Linked DNA regions of Drosophila melanogaster. The protein of the gene in region 3 interacts with the protein of the main gene of each other region in a pairwise test. Each region holds a gene or a part of one and is shown on either strand. Other genes may lie near its edges.

Region 1 (10,261 bases), 5.3 Mb from region 3:
CAGATGATGTTCGCCACATCATAGACAAAATATGGCATGGACATTCGGCTCTAAGCAAGACAGAGAATCTCAGTGAACTAAGGTAACCCCTTCACAATGAAGTGTTTAAAAATCAAACGTCAAATATATCTATTTCAGATTACCGCGTTGGAACAAGAGCGATGACTGGGCACCGTGGAACTGTATTTGCCTGACGGAACGGGAGACGCGAGATCACTACAAGATCGATGACATTGAGAAGGTGTATGATCCCAAGTTCGTTCTGCACATCGGTAATCTTCACATGCTGGCTCGCAGCCTATTCCACACCTTAGCTGCTGTGGCCACCGAGTTCCAGGAAACGGGCCAATGGTGGAAAGTGGGCATGAACAAGCAACGTTCCAGTAAACTGGATGCCGTCTAAACTATGTGGTTAAAATGACTCCCAGTAACTCACCTTTCGAAATTTGGGTTTAGCTTGTAATTCAGCGCCTAATTTAACATTTACAAAATTTTAACAATTCAAATATTGATCAATCATTACAAGAAAAATTAAATAAACTATAACTGCAATTATTTGCTACTTGCAATCGCCTTGAACTTTGACTCCAAATACTGAACGCGTTTCAGTAGTTTGTCACTGGTGCTGAACTCATTATAGGGCACGGGAATAACGTGGTAACCACTCTTCTCTAGCAGATCAAATGTCAGATTCGTAACGCCGCTGCCACTGCGATGCGTTCCGTGGCAAATGTCATGGAAATCGATGACCATCAGCGCCACCCTGAAATCAAGTTTCATTCATTATAATCAAGTTAATTTATAAAACGTGTAATAACTTGCCTTATTGCATTCGGATTTTCCTTGTCCAAAGGCAGGGGGTTTTTGTTAGCATCAAAATGGCACAGTGCATCTGAAACGACAGTTAATCAGGAATATGGTACACATTAACAAGGAATATCTTACCTATAAGGAAGCCCATTTTAGTGTCTACAGCAGTTTGTAAATGATTGCTGGCCGGCAGCAGACTTTTCAGGGCATCTAGCATTCCATTTACAAGCACTTGCTTTGCTTTAGGATGAGCCATGGGCACCTGATAGACAGGACTGTCAGTGGGCAATAGTGGACCCTTGTAATCTGTGGCTATTAACTGGGCATAGCTATTCAAGTTGAGTAGCCTCATTTTGGAGGTAGCTGTGACACCAGCTTTGTCCTTTTTCAACGTCTCTAGGAAGTCCGCACTGAAAGTAATTACAAATTTAAGTTTTAATTCCAGATTTTCAAGCGTTTCAAAGAACAAACCTCAAAACAGAAGCCAAGTGGCCGTGTTCTACTAGACCCAACATTGTTAGCGACCACACAAAGCTCAACCACTCGGATTGCTTGGTAAAATCCTCGCGGACAATAGACTTTACTAGCTTTTTGCTCACTTCCTCCAATTGAGCGCTTTTGAAGTTTAGCAGGGCCGATGTTAGGAAATAGGCACTGAGATCTTGGGGGCGACAGATTTCACTATTCTTTAAAAGCCACTGCGTAAGTGATTCCAAGATATCTACCGAAAAAAATAAATTACATTAATCACAACTTTTTCTGATGTGTTTATATCCGAGCTAACCCAAATCCCGGTATCGTAAAATGCCCAGGCTGGTGATAATGGATCCCACAACGGCAGACTTCTCCACATTCTTAGGCAGCGCCGATTGCACATCCGCACACACTTTAGCGCCTAGAACAGAATCCTGGAAATTCAACGTGGACATAGCGAACAGCACATCCCCCGCTTGCTTTAAATCCAGCGATTCCGACGCGCTGCTGATATTAAAGGCCAGGGAGCGCAAGAGAGGAGTACTACGCCTCTTCCGCTGGGCCAGGGTGCTCATCACCTTGACCATCTGGGGCAGACTGATGCTAGCTATCAGCTTAGCGGCCTCATCGTCACCAGCTACGCCAAGCACCGTGTTTAGGTCATCTGTTCGGAAGCCGGAAATCCGCTTGGCCGTCCCATTGTCACCAAGGTCCTTGTTGTTAGCATTATTATTTTTGGGAACCGTCCGGCCCAACATCCGGCAAATACGTAGGAACCTTGTGTCGTTCTCGAATTCCGAGATCTTTACTCGATTCAAGGTGCTCCACTCGGCCAGTATGGAGACAATTCTGAGGGCATGCTTCCTCGAGAAGCCATTGTTGTTCTCCGTGATAGTTAGCAGTCCATTGACTGTCTTTGCGTTGATGATACGCTCATCGATCTTGCTGGAGGCTTGGCTTTTGCTCTCATCTTTGGGATCGTCGTTTCTAAGGGATTCGAAAGCAGCGGCTACCATGTGGCCTGCAATAAGGATGGAGTGAATACCAATTAGTAAGGAGGACAACAATTTTAGAATCTACCTACCCCTGGGCTTTTTGGCCGCCTCCTCCACAGCCGGCGCGCGTGCTTCCGGCTCCACTGCATCCGATTGTGCTCCAGTGGGCGCCACGGGAATGCCCGCTGCCCGGACACTGCTGCTGAAGGCTGCACGGCGGTACAACTGGGTGACAAAACTGCCGGCAAAACGTTGTAGTCCCAACATTTTCAGTCAATCCACACGCTGCAAGAGACCACAGAAGTTTACATAACCTTTTTGTTTACATTTTTAGCGGCCAGGAAGGGGCTTTACAAAGCATGCCAATGATATAGGCTTATATTCATGACTTGAACCGTCTTATTTCCCCTGATATCCTTCACGTTTCATTTAGTATTTTCATTTATTTTAGTAAACTTTCCTATTGAACGTTGAGAATCCACAGATGACAGCAGCGTTCAGCTGATGGTAGTGTAGGGTAAGACCCGTCGGCTCCATGCAAAGCTTTTGTAACACTGCGAGCTGTGCTGCCAACTCAGCATTTTCTAGCTAGATCTGGCGTTTTTTATTCCGGAACTTAGGTGTCATTGCATGTGCTTTCGGTTATTTGGTAAATGCTTCCAATTTTATTACTATGCCGATTTCTCTTTGTGCTTTATTAATAAGAAAACTAATGTTTTATTGAACTATTTCGGTTATTGGTAAATGGTTCCCATTTTATAACTATGCCGATTTCTCTTTGTGCTTTATTAATAAGAAAACTAATATTTTATTGAACTATTTGGAGCACAAATTTAAAAAGCTAATTTTCATTAATAACGGCTACAGCTATTTATCGGATTTAGCTACACTTGAACAGTGAGAGTTGGAAACACTGTTTGCAACACTGGACACGACAGCTCACCAAATATTAGCTGCTGTGATTTTGTTTTACAATTTTCGTTTAAATTTTTACATTTTTGTTTGCGGAAAGCGCGGGTGCGAGACAGGTGCGCCGTTTCCATGCAAAAGTGCAAATCGTCAGCTGCAAAACAGTCAGAAAACGGCACGCCAAGCGAAAACGAGTTCGACGTCTTGTTGTAGTTGGATTTTCCAGCCACTTTTCGACGAGATTGTGTGAAAAATTCCGTAGCATTCAATAGTCTCAAAATGGTGGATAAATTCATCAGCATGTGGAAAGTGCGCGAATTGGCGGACAAGGTGTAAGTGATCAGGAATATATAGGATATATCCATACGTATATGTAATGGGATGTGTGTATAACATTCCCTTAACGCCGAAGTGAATGTTAAGACTCCCACGCCCCAAGTTTTCTGATTTCCCGCCACGCCCCCAACTCCTCAAGGATTTCAAAAGCCCTATGTCATGCATAAATCCCTAATAATTCATAAAGATATCTTACTTATGGATCAACTGCATCGGGGTGCTGGATTAGGTTCACGTTTTTAACTGCTTTCAAGGTTGTTCGCCATTTCAAGAGAGCTTTACCAACACAGCCACATTCCGATATTGATATCCATGTGTATATGCGCCTGTGTGTGTGGGGCTTTATCAAGAAACAATTTGTTTGCTTTCGACTGCCCAAATATAACAATTTTTTCACCTGTGTTAACAGCTCCACTTCCAGGCTTTCCAGTGAAATGGGTGTTTCTCTTTCCCCCATCGAATTATTAATTATGGGTGTCCCCTTTCACCTGCGCCTTTTATGGGGTAGTTATTTCTAAAAGCGAGCCTATAGTTCGAATAAATAATGGTGGCTCGATAGCCAACACCGAACTCATTAGGTTAAGTGCGCGGGTACACCTTTCCTAGGGCTTATCTCGAACTGATAAGGAACACCTAGATGGCCCATTTGCGACAATTGGCCCACTTCCATCACGTTTCGAACGTCTATCAACGTCGCAGCCAAGCCATGCGTATTACTTATTTATCTGCATCTTTGCATTGTATATCCATATCGTCACACAACGTTTACTTAAAAATACCAGTTCTGATTAACTGGCCCTCTATCTATTTGATTATCTATTCAATTGAGTTTACGGAATGTCCCAGTCAATATGCCTTTTTTCTTTACTTAAGTATATATCAATTATTTAAGGAAACAAGCTCGGATTAAGATTTGTATTTACATATGTACAAAAGTTCTACGACTAACATCGTGAATAGTTAATAGTTACTTTAAAATAAAACAATGACTTCGTTCCCACTTGCAGCACCAATGTCGTGATGAATTACACGGAAACGGAGGGCAAGGTGCGGGAGGCCACCAACGATGATCCTTGGGGGCCTACAGGACCCCTCATGCAGGAATTGGCCTATTCCACCTTCTCATACGAAACATTCCCGGAGGTGATGTCCATGCTGTGGAAGCGCATGCTGCAGGACAATAAAACCAACTGGCGACGCACGTACAAGGTAACGTTTTCAGTTTAAACTAATAAATATAGAGCTAACGAGTATATATTTACTTACAGAGCCTCCTTCTGCTAAACTATTTGGTGCGAAACGGCTCTGAACGGGTGGTAACCTCCTCTCGGGAGCACATCTACGATCTGCGCTCGCTGGAGAACTATACATTCACCGACGAGGGCGGCAAGGATCAGGGTATTAATGTTAGGCATAAGGTACGAGAGCTTATAGACTTTATTCAGGATGATGATCGTTTGCGCGAGGAGCGCAAAAAGGCGAAGAAGAACAAGGACAAGTACATCGGCATGAGCAGCGACGCCATGGGCATGCGAAGCGGTGGCTACAGCGGCTATAGCGGTGGATCTGGAGGAGGCGGCGGTGGCAGCGGTGGCTACAATGATGGCGACTATCGCTCTAGTCGTGGAGACAATTGGTGTAAGTAAGAAATTTTTATTTTTTTAAGATTTTTGTTCAAATTCTCTATATGTAATATTAATATTGATGATTTTTCTTCAGACTCCGACAAAAGCGCCGACAAGGATCGGTATGAGGATGATGATACTCACTACGATGGAGAGCGAGAGGGATCCGATAGCGACTCACCCAGTCCAAGGCAAGTTTTCACTTTTCCGATTAACCTGCTCTATATCCTAATGTACTCTTTTCTCCTCACAGACGTAACTATCGATACAATGACCGTGCGAGTCCTGCCGAAGTAGCCAGCGAGGCCAAACCTTCCAGCCTCAACATGAACATTCGTTCGAAGACCGTCAGTTCCCCTGTCTCCAAGCAGCCCACTTCAACGGCTTCTGCCAAGCCAGCGCTGTCCCAGAAGAAGATCGATCTGGGTGCGGCAGCAAACTTTGGAAAGCCAGCTCCTGGCGGTGCTGCTGGCATTCACTCACCAACTCACCGTGACACTCCCACCAGCGTGGACTTGATGGGCGGCGCTTCGCCATCGCCGTCTACTTCCAAGGCAAACAATAATACGCAAAGCAATAACAACGATCTGCTGGACGATCTGTTCAAGACCTGCTCGCCACCGCCGGGGCAGGAGAAGACGCTGAACAGTGCTGCCGTGATTGTGGATGACGATGATGACTTCAATCCGCGTGCCAGCGATGCTAGCCAGCAGGAATTCGGCGACTTCGCCTCTGCTTTCGGGCAGCCCTCGGCGGGATCGACGATCAGCGAGCCACCATCAACGGGCCTGGTTCCGGCTGCGAACGATGAGTTCGCCGACTTTGCGGCGTTCCAAGGCTCGACAACGTCGACATCTGCGCTGGACGGTAATTTGCTGAAGACTGCCACGCCGGCGAACGATTCGTTTGACCTGTTTAATTCAGCTCCCACCTCGACGGCAGCAGCCACAACGGCTACAGATCTCCTGGCAGGCCTGGGCGATCTGTCCATTCACCAAAGCATGCCCATGGGTGAGTTGTAGTTTGATTCTTGTAGCTTAACATATTATTAAATTTGAAATAGTTTTAAGATTAGAGTAATTGCATTGGCCTTAGTCACTTCATGATATATTTAGGTATCGCTGCATGAAGGTGCGCCTTCCGAGCTTGACTAGAGCCGTTATCTCTACCTCGAGCTCCACAGCCCACACAAAGATACACTATCTCATCCTCCCACATATAAACGGCAACATTTTCCAATCGGATGCACTCGTTCTCTTCTCGTTCTCTCTCGTAGCTGTTGAAGAGCAGTTGGCATCCAGTAATGATTCGATGTCGTCGGCTTCCCCACAGCCACCATCTGAGGCAATGCGTCTAGCTTTTTCCAAGGCACAGAAGCAGCTGCGCGATTTAATGCAGGTCCAGAGCGCTTCAGCCGTTGCCCAAGTAGCAGCTATTTTGGGGGAACTGCATAACTCAAACGCACTGCCCGGATTTACCACACCTGAGCAGTTGGTTGGCCTCGATCGTCAGACGTGCGACTGGACCTGTCTTGCCCATGGAGAGTATGCCGCATTGCTGAATCAATTGACAGAGCTATTCAGCCAGGATTGGCCAGAGCCATCGCAGGATGTTGAAGTCGTTAACATTTTTAAACTGGATCACAGCTTTGATTATGTATCGGTTGCCTTTGAGTCGCTTCAGACTAGATTGGATAAGTTTCCCAGTACTATTAGTTCCTTACTGGAAAACATGGTTAAGGATGAGAGCCTAATTTCTATCGCCTTGCTGCACATCTCCCGCCAGAGAGCTTCCTTAATGCAGCGCTTTGCGCGGACCATCAAAGTTATGCCGGAAAGAAAAGTGGAGGAGCTGGATGCCCAGGTGAAAGCGTTCTTTCAATTGCTAATCAGTCTGCCAGCCCAGGTGGCCAATCGACTGGGTAGAAGACTGCCAGAGACGTTTGCTCCAGTTTCTTATCAGAAACTCCTGCTGCGCCAGTGGCTGAAATCCTTGCACTTTGTCCTACAGTGCGATGATAATAGGGAATACTTTGATTTGGAACCGTACTCCTGGCTTTTGTCACAGGCTATTAACCTTATTTACGATGTTTCAACTTTGGAAAGCCTCCTACGAGTACTTAAGGACTACGCGGTGGCTCCCAGAGGAAGAAAAGTAGTTCATACCATATTAAAAGAATTGGATCCCGCTGCTTGCCTAAAAACAGCACAATCGGCTCTTTCTGCGGGATTGAACCTGTACGTTCTTATAGGTGCTGCCACTTTGGAGACACCTCATTGGAAGCATTGCCTGCTCCAGAAGTTGCCTCTTCAACGCACACCCGTGGATAATAAGCAGCTTATAACATTGGCCAGTTATCTTAACGCCGTAGCTCCTGCTCAACTGCAGGTTCTTTTGAATCAGTTGCTTGGAATCTGGTCGAAGCGCATTTCCTTGCAGAAACTGGGCAGCCAAGAGCACTTGGCTATATCCAAATTGCTTGTGTTGGCGGCAAAATGCCTTTGTGGGAATCTTGTAATGGATTTGAACATCCAGCGTCAGCTCCACGATGGACTCAGCAACCATTTGCAGTCCCCAGATGCACTGCAGCGTCATGTGGGAATGAAGACCGTGGAGCTAATTTTCAATTTTATTGCCTTGCCTGATGCGAAGGAGGATGATCGTCTACGATTTGAGTACGATTCATTTAAGGATACATTTCATTGGCACATCTTCGAAGAGTTTGATGAACTTGGCCAGTTTGAAAGCCCGAGCAAAACTAAGCTAGATGAGAAGCCTTGTGAGGATCAGCTGAAACAATTAGAACTTCATCTCAGTGACTTTATGAGTACTACAGAGCAGAAAGAGCCGCATAAGCCGAATATTGAAATACAAGCGAATCCCGCTCCCGAAAATCAGAATGTAAACATGCAGCTGGACTCGGATGACGACGAGCCACTGGATGAAGACGACGATGAATTGAAACCCTATGACATGTCCAACGATACAACCACCACCATTGATCAACGTCCCAAATTCGTCATCGACTTACTGCACTTGCTCCGAGAAAAGGTGGAGAATTATCAGGTGTTCGAAGGAGCCTTGGGCACAGCGGAGCAACTTATACGGGGTCAGCTGGCCAAACATGATACTCAGTTGGCCTTGGATCTGCTACAACTTTTCTTGGTCATGGAAATGCAGTTCTACTATGAGCAATTCGAACGTACGCAATTTAAGTGTTGCGTGGCCATTTGTGTGGCTCATCCTGGTCCCTGTGCCGAGTACCTATGCCGCCAGTTCCACACGGATAACTCCTTCTATTCGGCCAGTGTCCGTATTCTGATCCTTCAGGTACTGGCAGCAACGGCGAAAGAACTTTCTGGCGATGAAAACATGCAGAATGAGATGGAAATTGTGGATGTTATACCACCGGCAGCCAAGCATCCCCGAAAGTTCGAATTTCAACAGGAGGAGGAGAGTCCGGCCGCTCGTCTGGCCGCTGCGCAAAGGATCATCCGCGACCGGCTGCGGGCCAAGACGAAGAGATATTTCAGCAAGCCCAAAGCTGGAGATCAAATGGAGAAGGCCAACCCATTTCACCCCGTTGCCGGTACATTTTTCTTCAGTTTGGTGAGGGGACAGCGCACCCGTCAGATGCTTTACGTAAAATACGAAAATATTTCTCACGACATCGACACCCAGTTGCTTGTTAACCTGCTAAACACCATGTCCGTGTTGGTTATGTGCTCCCAGAACTGTCCACTGTTGCCAGCGATGACCCGCGAGATCTTTGACCTATGCGCCTTTGTGCGTTTCAATGCCGAGGCCCGCGTCCGAGCGGCCACATTGCAGCTAATAGGAATCGCCTTGGTAACCACACCAGCTCATGTGCTGGCCCAGCACTTTGCGGAGTCATTGAACGAACTGCAGCGCTGGCTGAATGACTTCATAAGATCGCCATTGGTGGGCGGAGAGACTTCGGAGGAGTGTCGTGAACTGGCCCAAAGCATTTTGGACACCTGCTACAAACTCTTTGATACAGCCGCCATGGAACAGGCTGCCTAACTTGGCCATCAAAAAGTTTTGAAAGCAGCCTATAGAGTTTTAAGAGATTTAAAATATTAAAACTGTATTTAAAATACACTAAGCATATTTCTTGTTACGGAAAAACGAACAATTTTTTACTGAAATATTTCCGAATTAATATATGATATATATGATTAAATACAAGATTACTTCATACTTTACATCAATTCTCATACAAACGTTAACGCTGTGTCCTTAAACATTTTCTTATAATTGTATAAACTAATAATAGACTCGAGAGTTAGGTATTTGCTAGAAATAAGACAACAGTTCTAGGAATTATTTTTTAAATATCTATCGCCCTCGAAGCCATTGTATTCCAGGTATACATATATGGATTTACTTCATTTATACTACTTTCTTTTGTTTATTTGTTTTTCTCCTACTGCATATTTGTATTGCAAACCACACACACATTGGATCCAATATTATTTCTCAAATATATACATACATATGTACTTAATAATGATGAATTGAAAAGCATTTCTCAATATTCCGGGCATTGTGCGGCCTCCGCAGCCACGGACTCATTAGGTAAACCAATCCAAAACGGCAATAGCCACATAACAGATACGAACCTATTCTTTCCTTCTGTAATTGCACTTGATTTGCTGCGCAAACGCTTCCGAGTAGTGACCACCTCATTAGCCGATCACCAAGTAGCCGCATTCGCAATTCTATCGAAGCCACATATTTAAAACAGCTTTTTGTGAAACCAAAATAAAAACGAAAACTGAAACCCCGAATAACATTATTATTGCATTTGTTTTTTTCCAGACAATATGATGCCTCCCATTCCCGCCGTCACGGGCAATAATCTGCTCCAGCCCATGTCGGTGACCAATAATAACAATAATACCAACGGAGGCGCAGTCCCCGCCGCTGCCAGTGTCCAGTCTACCGCTGTGGGCGCCACCTGGTCGGGCGACCTGAAGGGCGGCAAGATGAACATTGACCTGGACAATCTGCTGATGAGCAAGTCGGGCAAGCCCAGTGCCCCGGCCCCTTCGATGAATGCCCTGAAGACCAACAGTCCGGCAAAGGCGC
Region 2 (6,061 bases), on a different chromosome or scaffold from region 3:
GTTTAATCCAGCCGACGGCACACAGTACCTTTGCTTCCTGTGCCTCGAGAAGCCGGAGAGTCGAAAGCGCGTCTATCACATGTTCATCACGACTGAAAAGGAGCTGGGAAGCGACTACGCGCACACCAGGAAGTTGTACGAGAATCGCAAGGAATTCATATACACCAATAATATATCCGTGGAAACAGTCTGTGCACGAGCACTGTACCGTCGGGTTCAAAAGAAGTTCACAGATGTACAGTGGAACAAGCTGGGCAACGTTTTCGAGACTGACATGGTCGGACGCAGTGATGTCTGGGGTATATCTAATCGAGTTTACGCTTTGCGTATCGAGGAGCACGAAAGACTATTTAATTACATTAAGTTTCTGAGCTCAACGAAGTGCTAACTAACTACATTCGATTTTAAGTGCCAGTACGAATTGTGATATCTTGTGTTTATTTTTTATATTAAATCTCTGCTTTGCGGATTGTTTGATTACAGTAACTTTCTGTAGCTTATCTTAAATTGTGTGAACCCGTAATGACTCAACAGCTGCTCCAAAATGTATCCGTTGGTGGCGAAGAATACGGCTCCTTGCAGTCCAATCCAGTAGAAGGTGTTCCATGTGTGGAACTCCAGCAAATAGGCCGGCAGCAACCACAGCGCCTGGGCAAGCAGCCAGAGGAACAGGAGACCGAAGCACCTTCTCCACGACAGCATCTTGAAGTTGTTCAAACAGAGCGGCAGAATGGCCAAGTACCAAATGAAGTACTGAGAGGTTACCACCGAGTTATAGGTGACGATGACAAAGGCCACGGCAAAGATGCAGAATGGCAGCGTCTGGCGGAACTGACCGAAGCTCAAGCTTAAGTAGAGGATGAGCAGGAACTGCGGAGCCAGCACTAGAGTCTTCAGGATCGCAGAAGGTTCCGCCACACTCGACGCACTGCCCAGGTACTGTAGAAGGAACTGCAGCGAGAAGTTGTGTCGCGGGTCCTTGCGTACGAAGTGGTACAGGTACGCTTCATATATATATTCCCAACCGTACATTGTGTAGAAGGTCCAAGTGAAGGCCACTAGGCTGATCAATGTTCCACTTATCAGGCACAGTTGTTGCTTGTTGGGCCGCAGGATTTGGCACAGGAAGTCGAGGGGAGTTTGTGTCAGCCGCGTTGATAGCGATAAATAGTATGCCAAACTGAATAGCAACGGATACAGACGGAGGTGTATCACTAGACCGTGAGCCAAGCCCGCTCCGAATATAAGCCAGTAACTCCTGGTGACATTGTGCTCAGATTTTAACAGCAGGTATATAGTTAGTATCACGAAGAAGCTTGAGAAGCAATCGCCGCTTCCACGTGTGGATATTACAGCCGTCAGCGGGTTGTATAACCAAAAGCAAGCAGAGGCGCGGGCCAAGTTCTCTGGATGACTTCGCTCATCCAGGGCATCCAGCGATTGGTCCGAGTCCCGTGGCCTGTTGAACTTGCTAAGCAGGTGTTGTACGGTCTTCTGGTACTGACTCTTGATTTCCATGTGCACCAGACGGTAAATAAGTGTGGCGATGAGAAGATCGAATGTCGCATACAGTAGTTTACCCCACGCCGGATGAAGCAGGATGTTAAAAGTCTGCAGATATGCCATGATTGGGCTATATCGGTAAGTATGCCTGGCGAAGGGTGTGTCCCCAGCCAGAACTTGACGGGCTCCATCAGTCACCACCTTGTAGTCTATATCGGTGTAGGGCACGGCGGACTGACTGTCGTGTAATTGTCCGTAGCAAATTAAAGCTATTCGCAGCAGGGCGGATATTAGTAGATGGGTCCGAAAGCTAGTGTAAAGGATGCGGCGACCCAGTCGCTGCCATCCAGTGGTCGCAGCCTTTGTTTGAGTCATCGTGTTTATTGTTTACGTTTGTCTAAAGCTTGGTCTTCATTTCCAAAGCGGTCTTGCGGATACAGCTTAGGAACTCCTTGAACTCGGTGTCGCAGATTTTGTGCTGCACGTTTAGATCACGCGACACGCAAACCGCATACGCAGTGGCTTTGTCCGCGCACTTGCTTAGCAGAACTGGATAGTTGCGGATTCTTTGGTTGGCTTTGCGCACCGATTCCATGCCTTAGCTTAGCGCTTGTGAGGCGGAACTTTGTTCTCCGGCGGTGGTAGGGGATCGGCGATAAAGCAGTCAAACAGGGGCTTGGAGAAGAAGATCAGAAGTGAGCCTGTGATGAAGGAGATCTGGAACAGGCGTGGATTTCGCTGAATCCACGTGCGTTTGGGTAGCACAGCGGTTCGCCTGCGCTGATTTGCTTGCTGTTGCTCCTTTTGGTCCAGCAAGTCTTGAATTTCCTTCGGAGGCCTATACTGCGGTATGGACATTATTTGTTCCTGCAAAACGAGTTGATAATAGTGTATATGGAATAGAGAAGTTGGCTACAACTCACGACTTGCCGGTTGCGTTCTTTTCCTTGGATGCGTCTGGTAGATAAGTCTTCTCCAAATCGATTCCACTGCAGCAAAGCGATTCCTTGTGCCACTTTAAACAGCACTGGCGCATTGCCTCAAGGACATCCAAGCACTTGTCCTCCTGGTAGTGATTCTCTGTAACCGAGTGCAAGTCAGCTTACATAACCATGAAAATGGAGTCACCGGCGGTGCTTACTGGTCAGACAGGCTTGTATGCGGCAGGCGTTCGGTTTGCAGGGATCCTTGCGAGTGTCAGACATGTAATCCTGCCCAGAATTCTTACGATATTAAATCGCTCTTGCAATATGTGAAAAGTACTTGGAAGTGTTCTGCACTCTTCTTCTTCTTGGCGGTTGTAGTCATTCACAGTGCACGATCAAGGTAGCCAGACTGCGCGACGGTCAGCTGTGTAGGAAACCTAATACATCAAAGCAAAATAAAAAACAATCACATAAATAACAACAAAAAGAAATAACATCTCTTATAATGTACAAAAATTTTTAATCTTTCAAATTTTGATATTAATACCTTTTGCTTCCCTGTGAATACCCCGCCTGCTGCGAGAGCAACTGCCATTCACCCATCGACGCCGACAGTTGGGCACCAAGGAACTGTTCTTGTGTGAAAAACACACACACATTTGTTTTATTTCACTAGGACTCTTGACGATTACTTCACAAATCGGAAAATGCCATCGAAAAAGAAAAAATACAACGCACGCTTTCCGGCGGTAAGTTGAAACCACCGATTGGCGACAGGAAAGCTCCAGCCATTTGGCGGCCGTGAACGCCGAAGATGGGTTATCAGTTTTCGTGCATGTGTACATACATATGTACATACACGCCTCGCATAATCAGAGGCTCAAAAGAAGTAGAGGAGAAACCAAACCGGTGCGAGATTATAATGTTTCCAAACCATTACCATAAACTCCTTGCAGGGTCGCATCAAGAAGATCATGCAAAGCGACGAGGAAATCGGGAAGGTGGCCCAGGCGGTGCCTGTTATCATCTCACGCACGCTGGAGCTCTTCGTGGAGTCGCTGCTGACCAAGACGCTGCGCATCACGAATGCGCGCAACGCCAAGACGCTATCGCCATCGCACATGAGGCAGTGTATCGTATCCGAGAAACGCTTTGACTTCCTCAAGGAGCTGGTCCGCAACATACCCGACATCAGTGTGGCCGAGGAGGCCGCCTACAACGAGGACGATGTGTTACGCAGCTCGCCAGAGGAACAGTATCCAGATTCAGACACGCCATATGATCTTAGCCTGCCATCGACGTCAATGCGCTCGCAGGCGAACGGCACAGCTGCCTACATGCGCTCCATGAGTCTGAACAACGGAGCCGGATCGGGCGGAGGAGCCGCAGCCACCAAGCGGCAGTTTCAGTCGCAGCACTCCACCCAGGAAACTCCCACCACCAGCACCACCCTGCCCGCCAAGCTGGCCCGCTCCGGGTCCATGCCGGCCTACACGCCACGGGGCAGACCGCCCAATCACCTCAAGAAACAGTCGGTGCAGCTCGATACTGCCATACCCGCCCCGATCTGCAACTACGAACTCAACAAGCCCATTGTCAAGATCGACTACAGCCACGTGCAAATGCCGACGGCGAACCTGTGCACACCGGACGCCTCTGATTCTGGGTCAGGATCGGGCGCCGGATCTGGAGCTTTTAACTTCGACATAGCTGCTCCGGTGATCAATATCGATCTGACGAATATCGTGGCCGGTGGAGCACCTGGCAGTGGTGTGCCCCCCGCCTCTATTGGATTACCAGCGGCCACGCCGGGGGACAACAATAATGTGAACCAAATGGCTGGAAAGAGCAGCGCTCCCATCATTCCAAAGGCCACAGCGGCATCAGCGACCCCCACTGAAACCGTTTTCGAATTAGACGAAGACTATGACAATATTTGATTAGGATCTATGTGAATGCGCTTTTAAATTATTGATACATTAATATGTACTCTAGGTCTAAGAAATCACAATAACATTTTTTGCAAAATAAAGACCATGCTGGATTTTAAGCTGACGCAATGCGGAGTACTTTAAATAGAGAAAGAAAATTTATACATTCTAGCAGATAATGCTGTTTAATTTGCATACGATATTAAATCAGTTTATCTTTGAATTAGATGTACTAAACAAGTTCAACAATTATTGAAAATGTTTGCATTCATAGACACCATAAAAAAGCCGCCTCTGGGCGGCCGAAAGTCATTTATGCCCATCCCAGAGGCCAAGTTAGTTGACGATGTCGTCAGCTACATCGCCAAGCCAGAGTTCTATTCGACTGTTCCAGCGGCATTGAAGATGCAACGCCTTTTCTATGTGCAATACAGCGAACTGGCTGCCAAGTTGGAGACTGACCTCACAGCAGTGTTAACCCGTTTGGAGGCTGCCAAAAATAATTTGGAATTGGTGAGGAGGTTCATAGACAATCCTGACAAGGAAGTTCACAGCCTCGTGCAAATCGCACAGGGAGTATTCAGATGGGTGAGCATACCGCCAGTGCAAAAGGTTACCCTTCAAGTGGGCGCATCTCTGCAAATGGAATTCGAGCTGTCCGAGGCGGAGGAGTTCATCAAAAAGGACATCACCAGCCTGGTGAAGCAGCAATTGCAACATGAGCACGATATCGACTATCTGCAGGATCAGGTGAACACGATTGAGATGAACCTAGCCGTATTGTATAAACATGAAGTGGAGAACTAGAAGCATCCCACCATCCTTAAAATTGCTAGTACCTTGTAGTTGCTTATAAAGACATTCGTTCTAAATAAGTCTTTATTGTCTAAATGCCTTAATTTCCAACGAAGTACAGCTCTCCCTTGGAGTTCCCCACTAATTCATTCATTACAATTACATTATTAGCAGCCCGGTAAAGAGGTCAGAGTATCGGGACCGTAGGATCCCAGACTGTGCCCTACAAAATGTGACCTTTATTACCGAGCTCGGCTATTTACAAGCCTATACACATCATAATAATTATGACTTAATTTCGCCAGGGAGCACCGCTTAGTCATTGTGTAATCCTCGGTCACAGCCAATTACAATTGAATGCCTTTCAATCCCATGCCCATGCCTTCGTCCAGCTGTTACTCCAGCCCTCCGCATATTCGCACACGCAATCTGCCAGCCACAATTGATATTAATTTGTGCCCGATGTGGGTCAACCCATGATGTAGACTCCATTCCCTTCCAAGGATACCAAATTATATGGCAAAAGGACAAAACTGACCAGCAGATGAGCCACATATCGCGTGGGAAAATCTTATTGCAAGCGAATAAAATTACCCAACCGCTCCCAGTGAGCAAAGGTGCAGTTTTGAATTATATGAATTTTCATCCATGGGCTTGGCACACTAGATTAGGGTCAGCACTATTCCCGAATTTTGATTAGCCAAGCCCAAAGTCGAGATTAGATTGCTGCGCTCTCTCAACCAGATCAAGTGAATCCGCCAAAGAGTTTGGGCTCGGCTAATCGAAGCCCCTTCAATTGGGGGAATCAGATCTGCATCTGCACACCTGCACTCGTGGACTCCACGCTGTCCACCTGTCTTGAGTCATGGCGCAAAAAAAAAAGAGGTTAGAAACAATAAAAACAAC
Region 3 (7,069 bases):
TTATGGTGCACTATGATAGTCACAGTAAACGGAACCTTTAGGATTGGTTGGAGCTGAACCCAGTGCACTTTGAATTCCCACTCATGACATTGCGTATCCAATCACGATAGAAATAAACACTGGCATGAACGTCCTGAAAACAGAAAAAAAATTCTGATTCGGTTCTTAGAATCTTTATGTTTTCCAAGAGGCATGGAAAAGTATTCTTATGAAATTCACCTACAAAATTCTGCTGTTCATTGCCTTAACAAAAACGATTTCCGATCACTTACCGGAACTCCTGTTGCGCAGGGCCATCCCCAGTTGACCAGTCCCACCAGGTAACCATTGCTGACCAGAGGTCCACCGGAATCTCCATGGCAGGCACCTTCTCCCAGCCGCGAAAAAGTGCAAATGTGACCCACATCACAATCTTCATCGTTGCTCAGCAGGGCTTTGCACTCGCGATGGGGAACGTACTGAAGGTATAGAACCTGCAAATCGATGGGACTGGTGCCCCAGAGGACCGTGGATCCCCAACCAGTGAGGATTACTTCATCACCCGGCTGCATGGGCACCAAGGGCAACGGGATCGGCTGAGTGCGCTCGTCCCAAGCAATTGGCTCAACTAATTCCAACAGGGCAATATCATTGTGCATCTCCGGATTATCGTAGTTACAATGGATATGAATGGCTTTTAGGAAATACCTGCCTCCTGGTTGGTTATACTTATTAGTGCCCGTGACGACAACCAGCCATGGAATAAAGGCATTTTCGACACAGTGAGCGGCTGTCAGGACGAAGGTCTCGTTTATTATGGCACCACCACAGGAGTGGGCACCGGAGATTCCCTGCAAGGATATCTGATAGGGAGCGAAGCCATCCTCAGCTGCCTGACCACCGATGATCCGTTGATCCTTGTAAAACCGACCATCCGTTGAGTTTCCCTTGATTCGTATGGCTGTTATGGATACGAGTCCCGAAAGACCCAACAAAATAAGTAAAACCACTGCCGACATCTTGTTACTGGCCCTGGTCAGCTAATGAAGTTTTCAGTCGTACTTGCTGCCTTCTTGACCATTTATCGGAATCAGATAAAAAATCAGTTTATGGCGCGATTGTTGGAACCTTTGGTCAGGCCATTTTGACTTTCGTATAGTTCAATCAAAATCGCGAAGGGTAAAACCAGACTAGCTCAGTCCGCGATTGCATTTCAGCCATGTCGCTTGCACGTTTCCTATTTTATATTCTCGTGTTCAGTTCACTCTACTGTGACTTATTGGCATTGGAGCACTTCATTGTGGGTGGCCAGAATGCAGCTGAAGGAGATGCCCCCTACCAGGTGTCGCTCCAAACTCTTTTGGGTAGTCACCTATGCGGTGGTGCCATCATATCGGACCGATGGATAATTACGGCTGGTCACTGTGTCAAAGGATACCCGACTAGCAGACTTCAAGTGGCCACTGGTACAATTCGCTATGCGGAACCAGGAGCTGTTTATTACCCAGACGCCATCTACCTGCACTGCAACTATGACAGTCCCAAGTACCAGAATGATATTGGCCTGCTCCACCTGAACGAGAGCATTACCTTTAACGCACTAACTCAGGCGGTTGAACTACCCACATCCCCTTTTCCAAGAGGAGCTTCGGAGCTGGTTTTCACCGGATGGGGATCTCAGTCAGCGGCGGGGTCGTTGCCATCGCAGTTGCAGCGTGTCCAGCAGCAACACCTCAACTCCCCGGCTTGCGAGTCCATGATGTCTGCCTACGAGGATCTGGAACTGGGACCTTGCCATATTTGTGCTTATCGTCAGGCAAATATTGGAGCCTGCCACGGAGATTCTGGAGGTCCTCTAGTTCACCAGGGCACCCTGGTGGGCATACTCAACTTCTTTGTACCCTGCGCCCAGGGTGTGCCTGATATATTCATGAATATAATGTACTACCGCGACTGGATGCGACAAACGATGAGTGGCAATGGCAAATGTGCACAGGTCAACCAGCAGACAATAGATGGATAAAAACATTTGAACTCATTAAAGAACCTCAATTCATAATGTAATTCCTTAATGCTGTAAATAATTTATTAATTTATTAAGCCATTTAAACATAAGATAATTCCCAAACTGCCAGCCTTGTATCAAATATCACCAAACATGCACCAAAACCGCATAAAACCCGCACCAAAGCCGCACACAAATCGCCACCAAGCCGCCAAGAAGCCGCTAACAAATCGCGTGCAAGTCGAACTGAAAACGAAGGGCAGGATGTATCCTCTACGGGTCACTCGTAAGGGATCATTCTGTACGGGGCATCCTCTATTTTTTTAATTACTTGGGTTGCTGTAGTTCACTTGTTTTTTGGCGGGAGTGGTGAATTATTTTAATGTTTCTGGAGGCAAGTGATATTCTTGGCCCACAGCCAGGAGTCCGTTCAGTCGGACAGCCGGAATGTCTTAGTGATTCAGCCACCCGCCGTTTTCTGATTTATTTCGGAAGAAGAGAAGTGTCGCACTGGTCACACGTGTCGTCCTGATCTAATTGGTAGCAGGTAGACCCAGACAGACGTGGTCTTAGTCATGATTTGAGTTGTGAGAAAAATTTCGACACAAATCGCTCACGGCGCATGGAAATTCTGAAAATATTTCTATCGGCACTCGCTGTTCAGATGGGGGAAAAACAACCGGGAAAACTCTCAGTTGTGGGCTGTATCTTGGCATTTTGAAAAAGATTTTCAGTTGCTGTATTGACTTGGACGTGTGCGGTGCGGGCCTCGAATTTTCTTGGAATACGCGGCGTATACGCAATCCGTGAGCTATATGTAGACGCGTGTCTTGCTCATATTTTTATATATACAGCAATATATAACAAGTGAAATTTCGCAACTTGTGCAAAGTCGAGGAAAAAATTATGTTAAATCCAGTGAAAATGCCAAAGTATGTGAAATAATTTTCCCAATTAAGGCAAAACGACTTTGCAATGTATTTTACATTCTTACCAAGAGCGATGAATATTGCGCTAAAAGTATACGGCCAAAAAAAAACCGTTCGAATAAATATATTACCAAAAATAAAATAGAATATTTTGTGTTATGTGAATTTCAGTTTGAAATATTGCGTACAAGGCGTTGCCATTTCGTGATATATTCAGACGATGAAAGGCCTCTTTGCTGGATCCCAAAGAAAGAGCCATTAAATGTTCAGTTGTGAGAGCGTAAAGTGCATTTATCTGTCGGGCACCAGATGTTAATAGAGCCTCTGATCTTTATTTAGCCTCAATCGCATGCTCTGCCGCACCTGGGGTATCTGCGGGGTATAGTACCTAAGGGGACCCGGCATATGTATTTCCCAAATGATTTATTTAACTAGGCGTACACGTTTAAGTGATTTTTTAATAGAAGACATAAACCTTTTGTGCACCCTTTAGCAGATTTGTGCAGGGTCCTTGGGTTTTTCCATCACATGGAGACCTGGAAGTTGACGAAGCAACAGGTGCAGATGTTGTAGTATCCTCCCAGTAGGGATACGATGTGGTAGAATCTCCGTACGGAACCCAAGATGATGAGTATGGGTCCCAATAATATCCGGATGACGTAGTTGAGTCAGAGCAATAGCAGCCTGCCAAGACGCAAAACAACGCAAAGATCGTTAAGAACCTCATTTTAGCCGGCATTAATACAAACTAATAAACGATAGATACAATTTTATCAATTATATACTTCTTATCTTATTTATTTTCAATTGTTTAAAGAAATAATACCTTAAAACAGTTGGGCAAATGCCAAATATTCAATAAAAAGCCTAATATTTAACTAATATTTATTTTTCATATTCTATTGCCAAATTAATCACCAGCTGTTGTATCTAAAAATTTTGAAATTTTCAGAAGACTTTGTATGATTCATTTGAAAGCCCACTGTGCCATTGTTTATTATATTCCAATTATTTTCTAAATATCCAAGTAACAGTGCCGAATCGGGAAAAGCTAAATAAAGCGTTGGCACGTGAAATTACTTGACGGCAACGGGGCGTATGCGCAACAAGAGATTTTAACAGCCCAAGCAGCTGTTGAATTAATTCAAACGCCATGAATAATGATGGTCAATAAAAATAAAATTTGTTTAAAAGTACACGCGCTGCGCGTTCACACGGAAATTAAATAGGTTTTGAGAAATGTTAGTACAGAGTTGTTATGAATGGTGTTTCATATCTAAGCATAATTAGATCTTAAAATTCTTACTGGTTTTTTGAAGTTCATAAAAATGGTGACTATAGTTTAGTTTTCTTAATTTTATTTTACGGATTGATTTTGGTAGATCACTTAAGACTTCCTAAAACCCCTTTTAAGCGCCATGATAGCACTGAAATCAGATAATCAGAATAAAATTGTTTGATATATTTAGCGTGCTCTTGCTGCGTTTTATCTTCAAACGAGCATAAACATTCAAGCCAAATAAAATCGAGGAATTTATGACAGCTGATTTGGCCGGAGCTAGTTAGTCATCTCACAAGAATAAACAACATACAACTGTACATATGCTTTTCATTTAAGAGTTCTACGGGTTCTACGATCCCCCGATTTGGGATTCTTTATCAGCGCCTCGTGAGTCAAATGACGGGGAAATGCGGAATGTACTTGGGGCGACCGCCAGAGATGGCCAAAAGCCAATCATTTTTGCAGGAGGCACTTTCAATTGTGACCAGCAGCAGAGAAGATTGAAGCAAAAACATAAAACACAAAAGACGGCAACCAGTTCTATGAAAAGAATAACAACAAAATCAGCTGCGCGTCGAAAATCACATTTGTGATGAGTTGCAGGGGGTGGGGGGGGATTGCGGGGCAAGCGGTGGGTGGGGACTGGGGGGTCTCATGTGGTAGCGTCGCCAAAAACCTGCCAAACAGAGTCAAGAGTGCAGTCGACGTCGACTGCGACTGCGACTGCGACGCCGAGTCAACGTCACACGCAATACCAAAAACACAACACAAAACATGAAGCGAGATAAATATTGAACAAATTATGTATTGAAGACCTTTGACAGACGAGGATGCACTTTTAGAAACTTGTGAGAAATGTATTCATTTATTTAATATGATCTGAAAAAAATAAAAATACAAACCACAATTTTATATTTTATACTATAACTATGATATACATAATAATATTGTATTCTAATTTCATTTCCAACTTGAAATAATAATAGAAAAAATCGAAGGCAAACCTTTGTTATCTGTCAACCAGTAGGAGTGTGTAGAAAGTATCTTTTGGAATTATAACCTATAAGCGTTACCTAATATTTGCTTAGGGAGTTACTTAAGATGATCCCCGTCTGTATGATTTATCTGAGAAAATAATAATAAAGAAATTGAGCAATAAGCGGCGAGCATTTGGCTGCATAAAAACTTTGAGCAAGGAGGCGCACACAACTCAGTCGAGTTGAGAAATTGTCGCGGCCAGTACGAGTACGTGTAGCAAAGAACCCGAAAGCAACGCGCGCATTTCGTGCACACATTTTCAAAACCAAAAGAAAGAAATTCTGAAATTTGTTTACGAAAAAAAACGAAGGATTTGCCAGTCGTGTTTGTGTTGTGTTTTTTTAGAGAGAAACGTGCTCGCCACGCCAGGAATTGTGTAATTAGCGGGCCATCAAGTGTTCAGTATTAAGCACCCCCACTAAAGTATTACAACTCGAGATCATTCGACAGCGATCCCTATCAACCAACAGAAAAACCATCGATATGGCGTCCAGAAAAGTGAGTTTTTTTTTTTGTTGTTTTGTGGGCCTAGGGTGGCCCTTATCCGATCGGCAAACGTTGCATTTCACCCACACGATTTTCCACGATATATTCACGACGAAAATGGAGGACATGTGGTTCTCATTACCTGTTCATAAAAACTAAATATTTGTCAATTTATTTTTAGTCCAATGGGCGGTCGAAATTTGCTCACTTGCGCCTTCGCTGTGCAAATGTTGGGTGTAATTTTAGTTTCAAATAAATTCAAATTAATTAAAATGGAAGTGCAAATTTATTTAGCATTTCATTGGCGGCGTTCGTCGACGCTGATTCATGCGATTCCCCAGCGATGCAAGTGGCGCCTCACGTATTCATCGTCACTTGGCCGCCGTTTTTGGCCCGATTTGAAATGTTTATTTCCATATAAGGGTATCCTCAGCCAGACGCACTTGTTCCATATGGCCAGCTGTCCCCGAGCAGCTCCACTTCCTTGTGGAATGTAGTGAAGGTTTCGAGTCCAAAATATACGATTGTTATACGCATTGAACCTTGTAGAAGTGCTATTTAGGTGTTTGAAGTTTTTGGGATTGTTCTATATTTTTATTTTACTCAAAAATATGAATATTTTGAAGCCATATTATTTATAAAAGAAATATAATTTCTTGGCGTCAGCTGATTCACATGGAGTTGCTGTAGTTGTTGCCGGTATTTCAGTTGTACTTGCAGAACCCCAATCAATGTTCTCCGTTGTTGTTGTTGTTGTTGCGGCAATTGCAACAGCTACCATGGTGCACAAAAGGAGGAGGATGGCAAAAAACTTCATGTTGCTAACTTTAAATCGAAACTGATATTTCACTCAACATATTTTGCCCTTATATACGAATAAGACTTCAGAACAATTGTTAACACAAGTGCTTGCAAGATTTGATGGATGAAATGGTGGATGGAGTGATGGATTAGGACAGTTGAGTAAATACTCTAATTTGCCTTTCCAAAAATAAATGTACACGTGGCAAATGTTTAGCACGTGTAAATATACAGTACACGTTTTAACCGGATTGGTTATGATTTTCTTAAACAAGTGCTTTATATTAATTATTTAAAGTATTTTAAATCGTAAGCTGAGTTTATGAGGAACATTAGCATTAGCTAGAGCTTTGTTATTTACCTAACAAATTAATCGTCAACTTATACTCGTTAATTGTAGAGTATAAGGGTATACTAGGTTTGTTTAAAAGTATCTAAAAGCTATAAGAAATCGTTTTCTAACTTATATAACTTATTCTAACAGATCTCGGAAACAATAATGCTAAAAAGTTAACAGTATTATTATTATTGCTATTATTATTATGCATA

What was found.
Region 1: the proteins of cher (region 3) and lqfR interact in a two-hybrid assay, tested with the Drosophila melanogaster proteins (one large-scale study listed by BioGRID).
Region 2: the proteins of cher (region 3) and NC2alpha interact in a two-hybrid assay, tested with the Drosophila melanogaster proteins (one large-scale study listed by BioGRID).

What each region holds. Positions count from the first base shown.
Region 1 is NT_033777.3:22,408,118-22,418,378, forward strand, and holds lqfR (liquid facets-Related), read left to right. Parts: upstream 1-3,183; 5' UTR 3,184-3,467; coding exon 3,468-3,520; intron 3,521-4,531; coding exon 4,532-4,733; intron 4,734-4,792; coding exon 4,793-5,162; intron 5,163-5,243; coding exon 5,244-5,340; intron 5,341-5,402; coding exon 5,403-6,160; intron 6,161-6,425; coding exon 6,426-9,193; 3' UTR 9,194-9,685; downstream 9,686-10,261. Other genes in the region: CG13855 (uncharacterized protein), read left to right, coding at 1-82, 139-403; CG13850 (uncharacterized protein), read right to left, coding at 553-763, 823-892, 946-1,220, 1,282-1,531, 1,595-2,305, 2,369-2,546.
Region 2 is NT_033778.4:21,667,111-21,673,171, forward strand, and holds NC2alpha (negative cofactor 2alpha), read left to right. Parts: upstream 1-3,041; 5' UTR 3,042-3,136; coding exon 3,137-3,178; intron 3,179-3,385; coding exon 3,386-4,369; 3' UTR 4,370-4,483; downstream 4,484-6,061. Other genes in the region: CG42365 (uncharacterized protein), read left to right, coding at 1-388; PIG-M (phosphatidylinositol glycan anchor biosynthesis class M), read right to left, coding at 478-1,878; CG42380 (uncharacterized protein), read right to left, coding at 1,901-2,098; CG42379 (uncharacterized protein), read right to left, coding at 2,107-2,361; CG42381 (uncharacterized protein), read right to left, coding at 2,361-2,370, 2,427-2,583, 2,645-2,708; CG15676 (uncharacterized protein), read left to right, coding at 4,619-5,167.
Region 3 is NT_033777.3:17,121,060-17,128,128, reverse strand, and holds the start of cher (cheerio), read left to right. Parts: upstream 1-2,739; 5' UTR 2,740-2,890; coding exon 2,891-2,916; intron 2,917-3,342; exon of another isoform or gene 3,343-3,370; coding exon of another isoform or gene 3,371-3,640; exon of another isoform or gene 3,641-3,652; intron 3,653-5,446; exon of another isoform or gene 5,447-5,716; coding exon of another isoform or gene 5,717-5,731; intron 5,732-6,041; exon of another isoform or gene 6,042-6,350; coding exon of another isoform or gene 6,351-6,536; exon of another isoform or gene 6,537-6,552; intron 6,553-7,069. Other genes in the region: CG31269 (uncharacterized protein), read right to left, coding at 38-133, 273-998; CG17477 (uncharacterized protein), read left to right, coding at 1,199-2,002; CG45079 (uncharacterized protein), read right to left, coding at 3,371-3,640; CG42779 (uncharacterized protein), read right to left, coding at 6,351-6,536. UniProt on the Drosophila melanogaster protein: Involved in the germline ring canal formation. May tether actin microfilament within the ovarian ring canal to the cell membrane. Contributes to actin microfilaments organization.